3 linked regions of the Cricetulus griseus genome follow. The protein of the gene in region 1 purifies or fractionates together with the protein of each later gene. This does not show direct contact. Links are inferred from orthologs where the notes say so. Each region holds a gene or a part of one and is shown in the gene's direction. Other genes may lie near its edges.

What was found.
Region 2: the proteins of Fbxo42 (region 1) and Rbpj purify together in Homo sapiens (affinity purification with mass spectrometry; 3 studies listed by BioGRID and IntAct, counting the BioPlex papers as one, with this or other methods). This does not show direct contact. The link is inferred for Cricetulus griseus from reciprocal best matches to the Homo sapiens genes FBXO42 and RBPJ.
Region 3: the proteins of Fbxo42 (region 1) and Rbx1 purify together in Homo sapiens (affinity purification with mass spectrometry; 4 studies listed by BioGRID and IntAct, with this or other methods). This does not show direct contact. The link is inferred for Cricetulus griseus from reciprocal best matches to the Homo sapiens genes FBXO42 and RBX1.

What each region holds. Positions count from the first base shown.
Region 1 is NC_048595.1:12,081,708-12,085,357, reverse strand, and holds part of Fbxo42 (F-box only protein 42), read left to right. Parts: coding exon 1-151; intron 152-3,437; coding exon 3,438-3,554; intron 3,555-3,650. UniProt on the Homo sapiens protein: Substrate-recognition component of some SCF (SKP1-CUL1-F-box protein)-type E3 ubiquitin ligase complex. Specifically recognizes p53/TP53, promoting its ubiquitination and degradation.
Region 2 is NW_023276807.1:121,904,954-121,908,603, forward strand, and holds part of Rbpj (recombining binding protein suppressor of hairless), read left to right. Parts: intron 1-570; coding exon 571-745; intron 746-3,650. UniProt on the Homo sapiens protein: Transcriptional regulator that plays a central role in Notch signaling, a signaling pathway involved in cell-cell communication that regulates a broad spectrum of cell-fate determinations.
Region 3 is NC_048595.1:378,619,714-378,623,804, forward strand, and holds the start of Rbx1 (E3 ubiquitin-protein ligase RBX1), read left to right. Parts: upstream 1-1,162; 5' UTR 1,163-1,241; coding exon 1,242-1,319; intron 1,320-3,122; coding exon 3,123-3,201; intron 3,202-4,091. UniProt on the Homo sapiens protein: E3 ubiquitin ligase component of multiple cullin-RING-based E3 ubiquitin-protein ligase (CRLs) complexes which mediate the ubiquitination and subsequent proteasomal degradation of target proteins, including proteins involved in cell cycle progression, signal transduction, transcription and transcription-coupled nucleotide excision repair.

The sequences.
Region 1 (3,650 bases):
CCAGTGCTGGAAGTTGAAGAGACAAGACATAATAGGTCCATGTCTGAGCTGCCAGAAGAGGTTTTGGAGTATATCCTGTCCTTCCTCTCACCGTATCAGGAACACAAAACTGCAGCTCTGGTCTGCAAACAGTGGTATCGGCTTATCAAAGGTACTATGGAAAAGACGGGTTATTTCAAGTGTTTTAAAGAGGTGTGTGTGTGTGTGTGTGTGTGTCTGTCTGTCTGTCTGTCTGTCTGTCTGTCTGTCTGTGTATGTATATGCTAACATGTGTGCAGGTACCCATGAGGACAGAAGAGGGTATCAGATCCCTGGATCTTGATTTACAGTAGGCTGCGAGCCACTTACTGTGGGAGCTGGGATTGAATCCAGTTCTGTGGAAGAGCAGCAAGAGTTCCTAACTGCATAAACATGATTGTGTTATGGTTATTTTATTGAGTAATTTAGTTTTGGATTCCCCCTCTTTTCATTTGTTTTTATCTTTATTAATAGAAAACTTATGATATATTTTGATCATGATTCCCCCTCTCGCATCTCCTCCCAGATCCTCTCCACTTAACTACTCTTCCAATACCAGGCCTTCTTTTTCTTTCTTTCTTTCTTTTTTTTAATTTGTGATTTTTTTTCCAACATAATATTTTTATTGATTTTTTTTCTTGGGAATTTCACATCATGCACCCTGATTATACTTACTTCTCAGTCCTCCAAAGTTTGCCCCTCTACCTTTGTGACCTCCCCAACAATAAGAAGAAGAAAACAACAAAAGAAAAACATGTCCAATTTGTGTTGTCCTTATACTCACTGGAGCATGGTCAAACTCCTGGTGGCCAGCCCTTAAAGAAAACTGAGTCCTTCTCCAGCCACATCCCTGCTAGAAGCCATCAACTATGGAGAGCTACTCTTCAGCACCCTTGTCACAATTTCTAAGAGTTCTCTTTGATCACTCTGTTGACATCCGTGGTCTGTACTGCCACTGGAGACCATGCTGAGGTTTGTGGCACGTGCTGAGGCCAGAGACCATGTGGATGTCTATGGTCCTTACCGTCACTGGAAACCTTGTGGACGTTCATGATCCGTGCTTCTGCTGACTGTAAAGGGCAAGGAAGCTACCTTTGCAGTGGTATCAAGGACTGCAGACTCACAGTTGAGAAAGAGGGATATAGATGGCATCTATGACAATCCCTACCCCTACTCCCCATCCCCCCAAAAAATAATAGCCTGGACAGAAAGCCATGGAAAAGAACTCTTAGACTCCCTTTTTTCTTTTCTCCCTTAAAGACATTATGGCTGTAAAAATTAGTATTAGATAAGTTAACACATTTTTCTTATCTTGGTTAATTTTATGAACATCTAGAACATTAATGTATAATACTATACAGTTGTATAATAGTAATAGTATTTAATTAATTTGTAGTTTCAAAATGATGGTTGTTTTGTTTTTAAAGATTGATTTATTTGGATGGGTGGTGCTGGGACACCCCTGTAACCCCAGCACTTGGGAGGCAGAGGCAGACAGATCTGTGAGTTTGAGGCCAGCCTGGTCTACAAAGCAAGTTCCATGTGTATGAGTGTTTTGCCTGCATGTATTGTCTGTGCCTGGTGCCTATGGTGGTCAGAAGAGGACATCATATCTCTAGAACTGGAGTTACAGACAGCTGTGTGCCTGGTGTGTCTGTCTTTATCTGTGTTTGTATATGTGTGTGTGTGTGTTGTAAGTACCTGTTAGTGTGTGGCTGTAGGTATGTGAGTACATGGATGTGGAACCTGAGGCTGACTTCCATTGCCTTTCCTCAAGTGCTCTTGACCTTCTTTTTTCTTTCTTTCTTTCCTCTTTTTTTTTTTTTTTTTTTTTTTTTTTTTACATTAACCATGGTTTATTATAGGGAGGGAAATCCAGAGGGAGAGAAATGGAAGAACAGAGCAGGGCAGAGAATAAGAGAGAAGACAGAGCTTGACCTTCATTTTTTTTAAAGATTTTATTTATTATGTATACAGTGTTCTACCTGCATGTGTGCCTGCACACCAGAAGAGGGCACCAGATCTCATTATAGATGGTTGTGAGCTACCATGTGGTTGCTGGGAATTGAACTCATGACCCCTGGAAGAGCAGCCAGTGCTCTTAACCTCTGAGCCATCTCTCCAGCCCCTTAAATAATTTTTTTATGAAGCAGAAGTGGGGGATAGTAGAGACATTTTAATATATGCTAAACATAAAGGCAAGAGAAAGAAGAGTATGCTGGAGAGATGGCTTAACAGTACATAGTGTTCTTCCAGAGCACCCCCTGTACTCAGGTGGCAGAGGCAGGCGGATCTCTGTGAATTCAAAGTGAGCTTGGTCTGCAAATTGAGTTCCAGGCCAGCCAGGGCTACACAGTGAGACTCTGTCTCAAAAAGAAAAAAAGAAAGACGATGCTTTCCCAAAAAAATAAAGATGGGGCCACAACACTCCTTGAGCTTGGGCCCACACTTGGGTGTACCTGTGTTCTCAGTGTCTCTGAGTACTTTGTGCTCTCAGACTCTCATGATTTTATTTTAGAATCACAGATGAGTGTGTCTGTGAGAGTGTATGCCGGGTGTGTAGGTCTCCTCAGAGGCCAAAGGTGTCAGCTTTCCCCTGAACTTCACTTATTTACTAATATTCAATACATTTCATTTTATGTTTGGTGTTTCATGTTAGGGTTTCTCTGTGTATCCCTGGCTGTCCTGGCACTCATTCTGTAGACCAGGCTGATCTCAAACTCAGAGATCAGCCTGCCTCTACCTCCTGAGTGCTGGGATTAAAGGAGTGTGCCACCACCAACTGGAGCTGGAGTTACAGATTGTTCTGAGTCTCTGTGTAGGTGCTGGGAAGTAAACATGGGTCCTCTGGAAGAGCAGCCAAGTGTTCTTTTAAACACTGAGCTATGTCTCCAGCCCACCCAAGCTCTTAATTTTTAAGACACAGCCTTTAGACACACACTCAACATTTCATAATCTGTTATATAATAATCTATGTTCTTACCTAAGCTGGGGAATTCCTCATTGCCATGCTCTAACTGCAGAGCTTTTTGAGCAGCTGTTACATTATAGACACTGCTTTATCATATTCCTTCACAAAGATAAGTTACTCCCACCCCCTTTGCTTTGTAGTAATGCTACCCATTATCTTTATTGCCACATGATATAACCAAAGTGGACAAGGGTTGTCGTGTGAGCTGATTTAGTAAACTTGTGCACATCTCTGAACCTCCTGTGCCTTGGTAAAATGTAGTTCTTTCTATCTTGACATTTCCTGATTCTGTTTCCTTTCTTTGAATGAAAATGAGAGAAATTTGGACTTCTCAAAACATTTATGACTTTACACAAGTGATAAAACAGTTAAAAGCTACAATTTTAATGATTTTTTCCCTCCACAAATTAGGTATCCAAGCTGATGCCTCTGGTTTTTTCATCTTTAGGTGTAGCCCACCAGTGTTACCATGGTTTCATGAAGGCTGTCCAGGAAGGAAACATTCAGTGGGAGAGCAGGACTTACCCTTATCCTGGAACCCCCATCACTCAGCGGTTCTCCCACAGTGAGTATCCACATTGGGAAAGCAGGTCCCATGCTGCCTGTACTTGTGTTTCTAGAAACTGTTTGGGAGGCTTGCATTTTGTCTGTCTTTTTAATG
Region 2 (3,650 bases), on another chromosome or scaffold:
CAGCTATCAGAGCTTGGTTCCTAGATATTTGGCTTATTTTTTTGTGCAGCTTTTTTTTTTTTTTTTTTTTTTTGAGTTGACTTAGGCAATGCTTTCCTTCCCTTCCTGTACTAAGTGGACTTGATTCAAGTTGAGGAACTGGAATGATTGATGTAGTGGTTTCTTAACTACCCTGAAGACAGCTTTTTTAATGACTGTAATATTCAGTTCCCACAGCTGAACACTGAGATTCATTCATATCGTCTCCAGCTCGAGAATTGCCTAGGAGATGCTCAAGTTCAGCTTTCTGGACTAAGCTTTCTAGGCACATAAGCTGAGTTTGGTCTGTCCTTGCTGACCTCTATCTTCAGAAGAGGCTCACCTTTCATGAGCCTGTCATTCCTTCCCCATTGTTTGTTTTGAAAACTTCTTAAAGATTTCTCTTTAGAGAGCAATGTGAACAGTTCATTAGGTTATCCATATGAGTGGTATCATTCATGCTGTGTCAGATGTAGCCACACCATTCTGAGTGGACGGTGCATAACCTCAAGGGTTTGCTGCTAGTAACACCACTTTGCTTTTCTTTCACAGAACTACTGCACAGCCAAAACATTGTACATATCTGATTCAGACAAGAGAAAACACTTCATGTTGTCTGTAAAGATGTTCTATGGCAACAGTGATGACATTGGCGTGTTCCTCAGCAAGCGGATAAAAGTCATCTCCAAACCTTCCAAAAAGAAGCAGTCATTGAAAAATGCTGACTGTATGTATGCTCAAGTTTCCTTATTTGTTCCCAGTTATCACATTACATTAATGAGACAAACTTTTTAAAACCTAAATTCATTGTTTTTGTTTTTTGGCCTTACTGTGTTTTACATTTAAGTATAAATAAGTAGTGTTGGGTGTTGGTGACGCGCACCTTTAATCCCAGCACTCAGGAGGCAGAGGCAGGTGGATCTCTGTGAGTTCGAGGCCAGCCTGGTCTCCAGAGCGAGTGCCAGGATAGGCTCCAAAGCTACACAAAGAAACCCTGTCTCGAAAAACAAAAAAAAATAGTGTCTGGCTTAATGAAGTGATTCATTCTCAGTTCGTGTTCTGAGAATCTGTTACTTCATTTCATTAGGATTACTTTAGAGTGGTTTCTTACTGTTCCAGGGAAATGGAGGGAATTTTCTCCTTTTGTCTCATTGACTGGGAGGGAAGATAAATGTTAAGCACCTGATGCTGTGGGCCAGTGATAATAAATGTCCTACAGTGCCCAAGGTAGTTCCCATTCCAAAAAAATCTATCCTTCCAGAATGGCGGAAGTACCCGTTTCCAAAAACATCATAGTATGCTCTGGAAAGCCAGGTAAGACACTAAACCAAATGTCTAAAGGTCTCTGCAGCAGGAGCTGCTGTCTCATGGCAGATTGTTAAACTACCAAGGCTGTCTGGGTACTGTCTGTGAGTTTACATTTCAGCACATTTGAAATTGGTTGACTGACTTGTATGTTTTTTGTTGTATAAACTTTTAAGTTTATGTAAAAGGAAGAAAGTAGCATCATGCAACAATCTCCCCAACCTCAGTAATTTTACTAACTCTGTTTTGTGGTGGGTCATTAACAGCACCTCTTCCCTTTCTAACTGCTGGAATATTTGTAAATCTCCAACATCCTAATCTTTCAACTAACATTTCTGTAGTACTGACTCTTAATGCATGGCTTTTTTTTTTTTTTTTTTTTTTTTTTTTAGCACCAGACCTCACAAAGTTGACAGTCTTTTAATGTCATTTAATATTCCATGAGTAGATTAGTCATAGTGACTCGGCAATCTTTTTTTATATACAGTTTGTTGTTGTTATATTTTGTTCCATTTATAGTTAGCTTGTTCAAACATAGAATTAAGTAGGCCCATAAATTTTAATCTGTGATAGTTTTTCTATTCTCTCCTTACCTCCTTTAATTACTTATTGAAGAAACTGGGTCATTTTGAATCCTATGGAATTTTTATACTCTGGATTTGATTCGTCCCTTGTTTCTTTGCCTTAGGTTTTCTATGGCCTGATGATTAAAGACTTAAAATTAGCTGGTCATTCTCACTGGCTTAGAAATCGTAGAATATCTGGTTACCCCCTCCTTTTTGCCACATTAATACTGTAATAAGTTCAGCAGTTTGTTTAATTTCCTCCTAAGGCTCCTGAGAAACCTGTAAACTAGTGGTTTAGTGGCCTTTACTTCATCGAGGTACACACAGTACTGATTTTCCAATTCTTTTATATAACTTCCACATACTTAGTCTTTATTCCTATCAGTTATTTAATATGGAAAATTCCGTACCACTGAAGCAAACAGAATTACATAATAATGGAAATCCTAACTTCAATAGTGACTTAATTTCAGGCCAGTCTTATTTCATCATAATTCATTCTTCTAGTTCAGTCTGCTTTCCTACTTATTTGTAGTTTGATATAATCTCAGACATTTGCTTCCTATAGCTACAACAGATAGAATTTCTTATTTTTTAATAGTATAATACCATGATCATAAGAAAATAGCATGCAAAGCAAGCATAAGGAGAGATGCTTCTAATGTTCTGTCAGTGTTCAAATTTTGAATGGTCTAAAATAATTGAATTTTTAACCAAGTGAGTCAAAATTGAAATTCACTGGATGTTACAATATACAGACAACATTGCCATCTACATGGGTATTCTTAATCTATGTTCCCATGCAGTTTACCTGAGGCATTAGGAATTTATGCATTCAGATTTGTTAAGTTCATTCTTTTGGTGTGGTTCAATGTATGTTCTATAAATTGGTAATGTTTAGAAGAAACAGCTGCCACAGTGAACAATGGAAAGACAGACTTCATTTAGTACTCTTTCAGGAGAAGAGACTTTAGTATAGAGTCATGTTCACTTTCAATATAACAAAGGCAAGTTCCAGTTTTCAGCCAAGGAGGAAAATGAGGGGCCTAATGGATGGAAAAAAATCAATCAATCACTCAATCAAGGACAAGGGAGTTTTTGCTAAAGCAACTTTATAGGAGTCCTGATATGACAGCCGGAGTGATTCCTGTATCAAGGGAAGGGTGTGACTGATTTGCTAAAAACCAGACTTAGAAGGTTGTGCTGGGGCCCAGGTGAAAACTGATAGAAAGGAATGCTGGGAGGAGGACCTCTGAAGTTTGTTCAGGAGGACAGTTTGTCATGGTCATATTTAAGCTTGTTCTTTCTTTGTTTTGGTAAGTCCTCATTGATGGCCATATGCTCTTGTGTACCAGGTCATATCTGGCATCTTGTCTGGTATTCAGGCAGTTTCCAGTTCAGATTTCAGAGGGCTGAGGTTTTAGTTTGGGGCGGGTATATTTTTTTAACTTCTGAATATTTTGTTAAGTTGATGTGCCTTTTACATCTAAAGTACATCTTTATTTTTAAATTTTACAAATTATAAAACAGGTATTGTTTTTCAGCCAGGCGTTGGTGGCGCACGCCTGGTCTACAGAGCAAGTGCCAGGATAGGCTCCAAAGCTACACAGAGAAAACCCTGTCTCGAAAAACAAAAAACCAAAAACAAACAGGTATTTGGGAGATTGCAGAATTCCCTAAAATCATAATGCAGTGGGACTGCCTGTAGAGACCTTTCAACATGTATTTTATAGGGTTTTAATGAAAGTACCTAGAAGCGCT
Region 3 (4,091 bases), about 370 Mb from region 1:
TAGGGAATTTGTTAACACATAATAAATGAATGACAGTTTTAACATGGGAGGCAGAACTTGGACAAACACATACAGGCAGGCCCAGCCAGGCTGTCACACATTTTCTTTGTGCACGTTAAAGCTGTGGTGTTGTTTCTGGAAGTATTGCCCTGCTCAGCAATGACATTAACAACACTCCATTACTCTCCAATAAGTATCTCTTTTAAAAGGATATGTGACATTACAAATATAACTCTTTTGTTGTCCTGTTGTGGGAACTGGAACACCACGGCGTTCTACTTCTACCTCCCAAGTCCTAGGATTATAGGACTAATAAAAATATAAAAAATTCAAGGTGATATATTTCAGTCATGCCTCTGCTAGTTTAGGAGATAGAACCATGGAGGCCTGCACTAAACGTGGGAGCATGTTGTTTAGCTCGATGGAAATGAGCGGTAAGATTATCAGAATGCCTCATCCAAATTCAAGTCCAGCCACTACAGATAAACTAGTTTAACTGTAGTTCAAGCAGCCAAATTGGGATAGGAAATGGGGAGAAAGGGACGACATTTAGGACTGGCTGGTTAGGAGAGGTAATATGGCATCTCCCAGGCTCTTAATTAAGCGTTCTCCATCTCTTTCTGGTGAGAAAGCGAAGGCAGAGCTGCAGAATGTCTGTTAGGTCTGGGGCAGAACATTCAAGCCTCTTCTCTCCCCATCAAATCATTTCCCAAACTCATTGGGAACTCGGCTGGTGCCCGGGCTCTGGGAAACCTGGCCGCAGGCCTCCAGGACACTGCCACACCGCGTAGCCCCAAAGCTGGCCACCACCAGAGGAAGGCCCGTGTGGAGTCTCGGGTTTCCACAGACCCGCCCAAGCCCCTTCCATCGCAGCACCGGAGGGCAGCGCTGTGAGAATGGACCAGGTGCAAGTCCCGGCAAAGAAGGGCAGCCACCGCCCCAGATGAAGGAATCAGGCCAAGAGGGTGCCCTGAAGGCGAGCAGCGTGAAACCTCACGGACATTCCCACCGGCTGTCTCACATAGTTCGGCCCCGCCGGGCCCCGCCTCAAGCCTACTCCCCAGCGGAGGGCGAAGAACATCCGCCTGCGCCTTTAAGGGGCGTGGCGAAGGCTCCGCCCCTTCCACCCGCGCGCGCCAATAAGGGGAGGGGTGCGGGAGGAGGAGCCTGAGGTGGGGAGCAGGAGGCGACGTGTGACCCGGTGCGCAAGCGCAGTTGCCGGGTGTTCGTGTGTTTCCAAAATGGCGGCAGCGATGGATGTGGATACCCCCAGCGGCACCAACAGCGGCGCGGGCAAGAAGCGCTTTGAAGTGAAAAAGGTTGGGTCTGGCCAGCACTTTCCTCAGGGAAGCTAGAGAGGTGTGGATATGGCTGGCAGGCCCCAGGACGAGCGGGGCGCGGGGGAAAGAGCTTCATTTCAGGGCGTTCCTGGGACCGGGTACCACGAAAAGGAAGCTGGGGGGCGGGCTTTAGGATTGATGGGCATGATGGTGACCCAGTCTCTGAGGCCATATAAGTTTCGCTGGGGTAGCTGAGGGGCCAATCGCAGGATGTCTTACTGAAATACTCTGCGTCGACTTGGTTGCGGGAGCCAAGCGCTTGAGCTGTCACTGAATTGACTGAGAGGTGGGGGAAGGACAGGGTGGGGTGGGTGGAATGGAGGCTCTCGGAGAGACTGCGGCGGGTGGAGGATGGGGCAGTGCGGAGAAAGCCGGGAGCGTGAGCCCCTACCGCAGAGGAGGCTCTCAGGAGCCCTGTCGGTCGGTGTTCTCCTTGCCCCGCCCCTTCCTGGATCCTTGAGTCTATTGACTCGGAGAGACCTGGTGTGGGTCCTCGATTGTATGGAGGCCTCCATTAGGCTCTAAGGCCCTAGTCTCGAGTATAAGACTTGGTTCTTCAGAAATGTCTACTGCTTGTCACGTATAGGTTTTGCCAGTCCCATAGTTCTGTAACGTCCGGATACCCTTCTATCAAAATCAGTAGTTACAAAGCTTCGTGGGCTTTGTTTTAAAAGCAAGCCCAGAACTTGTGGCATTTAGGAAAGTGGAATACTAATTGTTCATGATTTGGGAGCAGGAAAGCAAAAATGTCGAAAGTCTTTTTGCATGCTGTTCCCTTCATAGTTTGCCAACAGTTTGAGAGAAAGGTGTCAGTTCCTACCTCAGAATACATAAATCTGTAAAAATGAAGATATTGTAGTCGGAGAGATGTTTTCATGTATTTTTGGAGCGTGTCGCTGAGCACACCCTCCACCCCACCCCCCTTTTCTGGCATCTCATTGTGGCCATTGCTGCTCAGTTACAGCCAGCAGCCATATTGAAGAATAGAAGTAATCGTTTTTTTTTCAACCCCCCGAGTTGATGCTGTGGTATAAAAAGTGATGTAGAAGTTACTGAACTTCTGAGACTTGAATTTGAAAGAGCCCTTGAAAGGGGTGTCTGTCAATATGTATGTATAATTGCAGAAGCCAGTTGAACTACTTTTAGATCGACTTGCTTACTAGAATTAATAGTTTGGACATATAAAAGTTGACAACATCAGTTTCCAGGATAAGAGGGAAAGAAAATTGTAGTGGATTCTACTTTGCCATGAATTAATCTGTTAAGATTTAAGTGATGACCTTGTTCTGTGTACTGAAGCTAGGTAGGTAACTGGCTATCCGGCTTATCCCACGATTATCCACATTATGATCCTGTCATCATTTTACTCCATTCTGTTCACCTCCTTATGTGTCCAAAACTGCTTGAAGAGCAGAGACTTCTGCAGATTTTGAGTCCTTCCACAACTGCCAGGGAAAGCTCCACAATAATTCAAGTTTGTACTTCTTTAAATCTAAAACCGGTGTTTAAAAAATATTTCTAATTTGCTTACATTGGTTGGACTAGCTAAATTATTTTACACTATAGACAGAAAATTGAAGCATCCCATGTTTACATCTTCAGATGAATGAGGAAGCATACATGTGGTTTGCTGTTGTCCTCTGATGTAGTACAAATAGTATAATCCAAAAACATTCTTTCTTTGATAGCCCCTAAGGCCAGGGAGTTGGTAGCTTGAACTGAAACCTGAAATCCTGTTACATTACTAGGAAAATGCATTGTTAACCCCCTTTGTCTTTGCAGTGGAATGCAGTAGCCCTCTGGGCCTGGGATATTGTGGTTGATAACTGTGCCATCTGCAGGAACCACATTATGGATCTTTGTAAGTAACTCAGGGAGGACGGAGAGAAATGGAAAAGGTTACAGAAATGGTGGTCATCCTGATGTGACCAATTTTCTTCTTTACAAGTAGATAGATACAAAGCAGGGTCAAAACCCTTGGGCATGAGTGCATCTCATCCGTTGGTGTGTTTGAAATAAATTTATTTTGTTCTTTGAGACACAGTTTCTCTGTGTAGCCTTGGCTGTACTAGAACTACTTTGTATACCAGCTGGCCTCAAACTCAGATCCATCTTCTTCTGCCTCCTGAGGTCTGGGATTAAATGCCTGAGCCACCAGTACTCAGCTCCACTCAAAATTATTTTTATTATTAAGTTAAATAGTTAAAACTATTTTTCGACGGGCGGGCGTTGGTGGCACATGCCTTTAATCCCAGCACTTGGGAGGCAGAGGCAGGCAGATCTCTGTGAGTTCAAGGCCAGCCTGGTCTTCAGAGCGAGTGCCAGGATAGGCTCCAAAGCTACACAGAGAAACCCTGTCTCAAAAAACCAAAACAAAACAAAACAAAACAAAAAACAATTTGCCCAAACGGTTGCTATCAACCGTTTCAAATAAAGTTATTTTTTTAAATAATGTCTTAGGAGGCATCCCCAGGTCTCAGAATAAATTATTCATTGTAAAGCCAACAAGATCCCATTTAGAATGAGTTATAGGAAGAGATGTTGTTTCTTCCCATCTTACACAGACACAATAGTGAAAGAAAGTGACCTTTGAAGGTAGATAAACCGTGCATACCTGTAATTCCAGCATTTGGGAGGCAGTAACAGGAGTATTGTGGCAAATTACAGGCCGCCAGGGCTAAAGTTTGAGCTTCAGTACTCTTATCTGAGCTAGGTTTTGTTGAGCAAGATTTACAGTCACAGGCTGGAGGA